Linked DNA regions of Kluyveromyces lactis. The protein of the gene in region 2 binds, or shares a complex with, the protein of the main gene of each other region. Links are inferred from orthologs where the notes say so. Each region holds a gene or a part of one and is shown on either strand. Other genes may lie near its edges. The genes, in order: TUB2 and STU2.

The links.
Region 1: the proteins of STU2 (region 2) and TUB2 are in contact, whole or in part, in a crystal structure (PDB 4U3J), measured with the Saccharomyces cerevisiae proteins. The link is inferred for Kluyveromyces lactis from reciprocal best matches to the Saccharomyces cerevisiae genes STU2 and TUB2. Residues at the interface, in NP_013146.1 of Saccharomyces cerevisiae: Ser339, Trp341, Arg344, Ala384, Asn385, Ile386, Gln387, Lys425, Lys427, Lys428, Lys469, Thr470, Pro471; in NP_116616.1 of Saccharomyces cerevisiae: Tyr106, Thr107, Glu108, Ala110, Glu111, Asp114, Lys154, Glu157, Pro160, His195, Ser400, Glu401, Gly402, Glu407.

Annotation. Positions count from the first base shown.
Region 1 is NC_006040.1:454,725-458,355, reverse strand, and holds TUB2 (beta-tubulin), read left to right. Parts: upstream 1-1,745; coding exon 1,746-3,095; downstream 3,096-3,631. Other genes in the region: PER33 (Per33p), read right to left, coding at 1-484. UniProt on the Saccharomyces cerevisiae protein: Tubulin is the major constituent of microtubules, a cylinder consisting of laterally associated linear protofilaments composed of alpha- and beta-tubulin heterodimers.
Region 2 is NC_006041.1:1,460,262-1,464,845, forward strand, and holds STU2 (Stu2p), read right to left. Parts: upstream 3,087-4,584; coding exon 588-3,086; downstream 1-587. Other genes in the region: thioredoxin TRX2, read left to right, coding at 3,656-3,970; SER2 (phosphoserine phosphatase), read right to left, coding at 4,038-4,584.

The DNA.
Region 1 (3,631 bases), on a different chromosome or scaffold from region 2:
ATGGCAATACATTCTCTTTGAAATAATTCAATGCATGGAACAAAGAGTATATAACCATAGATGATTCAGTTTGAGTTAAAGTTTTCCCTCCTGATAGAGAACATATCAAAAGAACAATGGAAAGTGTAAAATATTGTAGGTTATCCAACTGTCTGATCTGCTGTTTTAAATTCGACCACTGGAATCTTAACTGTTTTGATTTCACATATTGGTGAAGCACAATCCCATAACTGATCACTGTGTATAGCATGATCTTCCTGTAATTTGTCTTTACACTTTGTTCTCGGAATGAGAGCATATATTGGATATAATAGTATAAGCATAACGTGTGACCAAGGAACCAATAGAACTGAGGCTGTTTCAACTTCGTACGGAACACAGCACTCAGAGGGGCTACAGGTCTCTGAGCAGGCCTGTTGCCTCCATTTTGACCGGCAGCATTGGAATAACGATTACCACTGCCATTGCCACTTCCCTCAGACATCTTCTTGAAAAGAAAACCTTTAAAATGAAACCTTAGTAACTAACTCACGAAAGTTCTTTTGGAGACGAGATAATCAACTGCTATTGAGCCGCTAAGTTAAGAGTTCACAATCAACGATGACAAAAACACCTTGAAAAGCTAAATATGTAAACAGCTTTCGTCTTCAATACACAATCAGTTAATCAATTGATAGCCAAAAATATAAGAAAAAAAAAAAAAAAAGAGACCTGCTAACCTGATCCGATTCGATTCGGTTCGAAATAGAATACCGTAGCTTAATCAAAGTAACCTTCCGATTACTATATACATAAAAATGTAGCACTGGACAGATCAATTCCAACTAGTCAAACCCTCTTTCGCTTCTCCAACTAATAGGTTTCCTTCTCTTAACAAACTGTACTGGACGTTTTTTCCCTCTTTAAATTTCCTAATCCTGAAATCCGTTTCTCTTTAAATTTTCACATCGTCTTTAAATGTCAGCTAGAATCGAAAGTTAGGGAAAATTGCAGTATTCCAGTTTCCGTATGATTCTATCATATACGGAAAGTCAGCTGTGAAGAAAATGATCCGAGAAAATAGTCTGTTCAGTCTTTGGACTCATGGAACACTTCGACAACTATTCTAAATCTTAGGGGAATGTGTTGCTCACTTGCAACCTCAACTCTTGTCTTTAGATGAACTGACACTACGCAGGAATTCACACATCACAGTCACGTGCAAATCACGCGATGTAAGTTTCCGTTTCCCGTATTACCCGCACACTTAGCAACCCACAAAGGGAAATAGACGTGCTCGAAAATTGCCTAAAGAAGTGAAACAAAGATCAAAATACAAACAAAGATATGAGGAAAGAGAAGGAGGAAAAAAATAAACAAATAAAAACAAATAAATAAACAATTTAAAGTGGTTAAATAAGTGAACACAGACGTGATTGTGAACAGGCTTGCACGGGTTAGAGATAACTTTATAGATAACAGCTGTGAGAACTCGTCTATTTCGATTTGTTAGTTTGTTTGTTTAATATACTGTGGACAAGACTACTATTTTTACCCATATTATATTTCACTTTTTTCTTGTAAAGGACAGAGAGATCGCATAATTATTTTTTTTTCTTGAAAGAACAAGGATCAACAATTACTGGATTATAGATACCCCTCGATTGTATCAACACCAAGTCTTTCTACAATTTGCCTGTGCTGTGTTTCTTCAATTGTCATTTTTTGAGATCAGATCAATAACGCGCTCAGAGATATTCTAAAACATGAGAGAGATCATTCATTTGTCCACAGGTCAATGTGGTAACCAAATTGGTGCTGCGTTTTGGGAAACTATTTGTGGTGAACACGGTTTGGATTTTGAAGGTAACTATCACGGTATCGATGATATTCAAAAGGCTAGATTGAACGTTTACTTTAACGAAGCCTCTTCTGGTAAATGGGTTCCAAGATCCGTTAACATTGATTTGGAACCTGGTACCATTGATGCTGTACGTAACTCTAAGATTGGTACTTTGTTCAGACCAGATAACTACATTTTCGGTCAATCTTCAGCAGGTAACGTGTGGGCTAAAGGTCATTACACTGAGGGTGCTGAATTGGTGGATTCTGTCATGGACGTTGTCAGACGTGAAGCTGAAGGTTGTGACTCTTTGCAAGGTTTCCAAATCGCCCATTCCCTTGGTGGTGGTACCGGTTCTGGTATGGGTACTTTGTTGATCTCTAAGATCAGAGAAGAATTCCCTGACAGAATGATGGCTACTTTCTCCGTTGTCCCATCCCCAAAGACTTCAGATACCGTTGTAGAACCATACAATGCCACTCTATCTGTACACCAATTAGTCGAACACGCTGATGAAACTTTCTGTATCGATAATGAAGCCCTTTACGATATATGTCAAACTACTCTAAAATTACCACAACCAGATTATGCGAACTTGAACCATTTAGTTTCAAGTGTCATGTCTGGTGTCACTACATCCCTACGTTACCCAGGTCAATTGAACTCAGATCTAAGAAAATTGGCCGTGAATTTGGTGCCCTTCCCAAGATTACACTTCTTCATGGTTGGTTATGCTCCATTAACCTCGATTGGTGCCCAATCTTTCAGATCCCTATCTGTATCAGAATTGACCCAACAAATGTTCGATTCAAGAAATATGATGGCTGCATCTGATCCAAGAAACGGAAGGTACTTGACTGTTGCTGCATTCTTCCGTGGTAAAGTAAGCGTGAAAGAAGTTGAAGATGAAATGCATAAGGTTCAAACTAGAAACTCGTCGTACTTCGTAGAATGGATTCCAAACAACGTGCAAACAGCCGTCTGTTCTGTACCTCCAAAGGACTTAGACATGTCTGCTACTTTCATTGGTAACTCTACATCCATCCAAGAATTATTCAGAAGGGTCGGAGATCAATTTAGTGTTATGTTCAAGAAGAGAGCTTTCTTGCATTGGTATACTAATGAAGGTATGGAAGAAATTGAATTTTCTGAAGCTGAATCTAACATGAATGACTTAGTAAGTGAATACCAACAATATCAAGATGCTACTGTTGAAGATGACGAAGAATTGGAATTCGTTGACGAACAACCAATGGCTGAAAACTTCGAGTAAAGAATATAAAGGAAAACTTCAGCAGGAAAAAAAAAGGAATAAGGAACAAAGATCAGATGTGTACAGAAGATAAGTTTATCATTTTGAGAGCAGTACCACTGAAAGCAAATTATTTGGACACGAGATAAACAATAAACAATGTACTTCAGAAAGATATTTTCTTTCTTCTTATAGTTTTCCTTTCGTTACTTCTACTATTCTAATACTATTCCCCACACCACTAGTAGAAGCGGAAAATTTCGAAATATGATACCACCCTTACTATAATTTATATGCTTTTTGTTTCTCTGCTCAATGATATGTACTATCAATGTGACCCAAAACATTTCTTTAGTATTTGTTTCTATTTTTTTTTAATAATATCATATCTTACTACATAATTTTAGTCTTCACATTATAATACGTGATTCTTCATGATATATTTGACTCAGATGTCAACACAGTAGTATGTGAATGTTTCAATGACTTATCCTCTTCCCCAGGCCTGATCAATCATTTCACAGATCAACGAAACATACCAAGAACAAAAAGAAATA
Region 2 (4,584 bases):
GTAGAAGAGACTTACTTACTCGTTGCCCATGGAATTGGGCATTGGCATCGCCAATGCCATTCAACAAGTCGCAATGGAACAGACCGAATTTACTGGAAGCGCAATCCTGTAAAAAGAAATACCTCAGCTGAATTCCAGTTTACACGAATCCCTCACAGAGATAGAGTTGTATTTGTCTGGGATACGGCTTGGAGGATGTCTGCTTTGGCTGTTGTTAAAAATCGCATCAACTGATCCGAGGAATCATCAGTGGGAACGACGTGCATGGAAAAGAAACGTGCTGAGAGTGATGGGCTTAGTTGCCGTTATTTGCATTTTGAAATGCATATAACGGTGTATCTTCCCTCTAGTTGCATATCTGGAATATCTGACGATTTTCGGAGAATTTTGGAGAAAAAGAAACTTTTCGGAAAAACTAGGAGGCTGCACCAGAGATAAGCAGAGAGAAGACGTTGCTATATATTACCCGGGACAATATATGCATTCTAGGTCATGTGACTGGAAGCTTCCCTCTCTGGTTGTCATGTCGGAGTTTGCGCTCAATTCGTCGTTTATACAGGAATCTATTTTGTACATAGTGGATTCTCTTAATCTACGCCGAGATTGTTGAAACCGGACCTGGATTTGGCCCTCATTCTTTCTATACGTGCCTTTAATTGGTTCGTAACTTCTGCAGCTCGTTTCCACGATTCCTCTTGCAACATATGGTTGTTCAAGTTTAGGGAATTGACACGTCTAGGTAGATCGTCGCTACTTTCACTAGGCGATCTGACCCTTTGAGGAGTCGTAGCATTTTTAGTAGATCTCAGAGGTGATAAGGTAGTTGCTGTTAATCTTCCTCTGCTAATGGACGAGGATATGGGTGAATCTGTTGACATGGTATCGGAAGTACCGCCCGTCAGTTTACTCTCTAACTCCTTGATCTTTAAATTCTTAGCGTTCAATTGATCCTTCGAATCCTGCAATTGCCTTTGTAAATTGGAAACGTATGTCTCAGACTCGTTCAAGAGTTTATTTACTTTGGAAAGTTGTAAATTGGATTGATTTAAGTTGGATAAGAGATCGTTGCGCTCCCTTAGCCATTCTTGTCTCTCTTGTCTTAATTTGTTCACTTCATCGTTTAAATGTGACATTCTGTTGGATATGTTTGTCTGTGGTGTGAAATTGCCAGAGAGGCTTGTGTTGGAACTGGTATTAGATTTGGGTTGTGTTGAGGAAGGCAGATCCGTATGGTTCATCATTTGATGAGTAGTTAGAGACCTTGAAGTCAACCTGGACGACTTCGTGTTGCCATTCAAGGCAGAGTTACGTGCCGGTTTCAATGGAGAAGTGGCCAGTCGTTTTGAAGGGATCGTTGAAGACAAGGGTTGGGATCGTACTACTGGTGCCGCTGATCTTAATTGGGTTTGCGGTTGGGTTTGGTGTGGAGGTGGAACCGTTGCCGCCTTGATCTCCACTTTATCAACAAGTTCAAGGATCTTCTTCCTTTTCAAGTTATCGAGCTTGTCCAAATATGTTGATAGTTCTCTTTCATCGAATATCTTAATTAAGATAGCAATACACTTGAAACCCTCATTTCTTGTTGCCTGTTGATTGTCGTTTACAATGGGCTGCAAAGAATTGAGTATCGCTGGCAAATTGGAGAATACCGACGTTCTATGAAGAGTTTCAGTCGGTGTCCAATTGGATAGCAACTCGAAAAGAAATTTCGAGCATACAATTTTTACCTGTGGTACTTTGTTCTTCATGTGTTGTAACACAGACTCGAGACATAGCTCTAATTTATAGTACTTTGAAAGGTTCAGGAGAGCATTGAAAATAGAATCTGCGACGTTTGGTTTTTTCTCCTTTGATCTAGTTAGGAGAGCGTTTAAAGTTTCCAATGCGAATGGGTTATATTCTGATCTTAATGCGGATATTAGTATATCTAAACTGCTGGTAGATATTTGTACTGCTTGTAGGTTTGCATCGGAAGTGATAGTCGAGCAAAATTTGTGAATGATTTCAGAATGATCTTCATTTGATGCTGACAATTTTTTAACCTTGGTTAAAGTCTGATCGTGGAACTCTTCTAAAGCTTCCACTCTATCCTTCCATTTGCTAGACGCCAAACTCTGATAGAAATTATTCGGTAGCTTATCTAATATAGTTTGTACGGGGAACATATCATATGGATCGATTGATTGGTTATCCAGAGCAGCGGCAGACTGGCCGTTATTACCTGCCATTGCTAGATCTCCGTCATGATCCAAGGGTAAATCAGTTGAATTGTTATCACTCTGAGCCGGGACTGCCCATATAAACTGAGACGGTGTTGAAGAAGGCGGTATAGTGCCCTGGTACGATTCAAACAGTTTATCCAGGTCCTTCTGTTGTATGGGCTTCAACTTCCCCAATAGAAGCTCTTGAAGTACAGGTTTATTAAACCATGTATATAGTTGTAAAATCAACTGCATTGACTCATTCCTCACAGATTTATCCGCATGTGAGCAAAGTTTAGGTAAAACTTCCACTAGACCCTGTAACGATTGCATCTTCTCCTGTTGAGAAACGTTCACGAACCCAAACTGCTCTATCAACTTTACATGAACCATTAACGCTGCAGTCAACAGCTTCGGTAATTTTTTGGTCCAAATCGGCGTCAGACAATTGATTGCATTTACGATATTATCATCCAATGACACGACAAGCGAAACGCAGGCCAATGAAGCCTCTTTCGTCGCTGATTTCGAGGAAGTCATACCTTTCTCCACCAGAGCTGGAACCCAGCCCTGAACCAATTGACCCGGCTGACACAAATCTCTGATCTGGGGTACGTCGATCATAAATTTCAACAAACTGTACAAGGCCTTAACGGCAGATTCTTGTGCAACAACATTGGAATCCAATACGTACCCCGTGAAAATCTCAGGTTTCTTCCAATACTTATTAACGCCACTCTCTGCAACTCTAGCAACGGACAGTTTATTGAATGTGCTTTCTAGCTCATTATATCCATGCTGTCTTGCCTTCCAAAGCTTATGAACAAGTCTCTCATCTAGTGACAGAGTCTGAAAAGACGCCGAATCATCCGTAGCGTTATCCATGGGAGATATACACACGCGATACAGCTGGCAGCACCCTGTGTTGACTCACTGACCGTCTATTTTATTCATGTTGTCTCGTCTGTTTGTTTGTTTACTGGTTGATTTTGATTGTTTTTGTTTACAGAAACGATTGATTTCAAGTCATGTGATATATCACGTGACTTTGTTGATATGCTTTGGATCGGGTTTGCAGAAACCTGAATAATGGGAGGGTAGGATCTATTATACACGTACACGCCCCTCCAATCACTCAATCGGCGCTGATGCGTGTTGGTTGAACATTATACAGTCAATTCAAGCCATTCAAAACACCGTTACACGAGTGTTGGCGCTTCCACCTGCTTACAAATGGACGGGTTCTAGCTGATTCCAGCTCTCGATTCCTGATTAGCAAGCAAAAATTTGTCAAAAACTCGATATTTAACCAACATTATTATATAAAGGAAGTAAGATACATTTAAAGGTTATTTAGTTGTCTCTTCGATTGATTATCGGATAATCTGATAACTTTCTATCCTCATCAAATAAGGTACAATTTATCTTTACTATCCCCTCCAATTTCATATATAATGGTCGCTCAACTTACTTCCGCATCCGAATTCGAAAAGGCTTTGACTGACGACAAGTTGGTCGTCGTCGACTTCTTTGCCACCTGGTGTGGTCCATGCAAGATGATTGCCCCAATGTTGGAAAAGTTCGCTAAGGAATACGAGGGTAAAGCTACCTTCTTGAAGGTTGACGTTGATGAGTTGCCAGATGTTGCAAAGAACAACGATGTCAGTGCTATGCCAACCCTAGTTTTCTTCAAGTCCGGTAAGGAAATTTCTAGAGTCCTAGGTGCTAACTTGGCTGCTATCAAGCAAACCATTGCTGCTAACGTGTAAAATTTTTTGTACACTGCTTATAATATACATTTTACTATATATATATCAGAATAAATTCTTTACATTTCTATTCTTTGATCATGGTTTCTATCTCCTTCTCAGTGTGCCCCAGGATGTATAGGACGTCTATCATTGTATCACTGTTTAACTTACATGGGGCTTGTTCTTGGACCTTTGGCTTGGCGTTCCATGCGATTCCGAACCCAGCTGCGGCCATTGCGTTCAAATCATTACCACCATCTCCGACCATGACGGTGGATTCGATCGGAGAATTGTACTGTTCTGCAAGAGCCACCAACGTCTTGGCCTTGCGCACTCCGTCAACTATATCGCCGAGTGCTTCACCGTTCAATTGTTCAGTACCGTCATCCGACACTTCCACACCCAGAGTATTAGCCAATGCAAAATCGAAGTTTAACTTTTCCTTAATGTAGTTAGCAAACGGGATGAACCCACCACTTAACACTGCCAATTTACAACCTTGGGACTTCAACGCCCTCGATAGCTCTGGGACACCCTTGGTGACTCTTAATCTAGGTTTAATTTCATCGTATAAGTGTCTCGTTTGAATTCCCTTCAATAATTTCACACGTTCTCTCAAAGATTGACAGAAA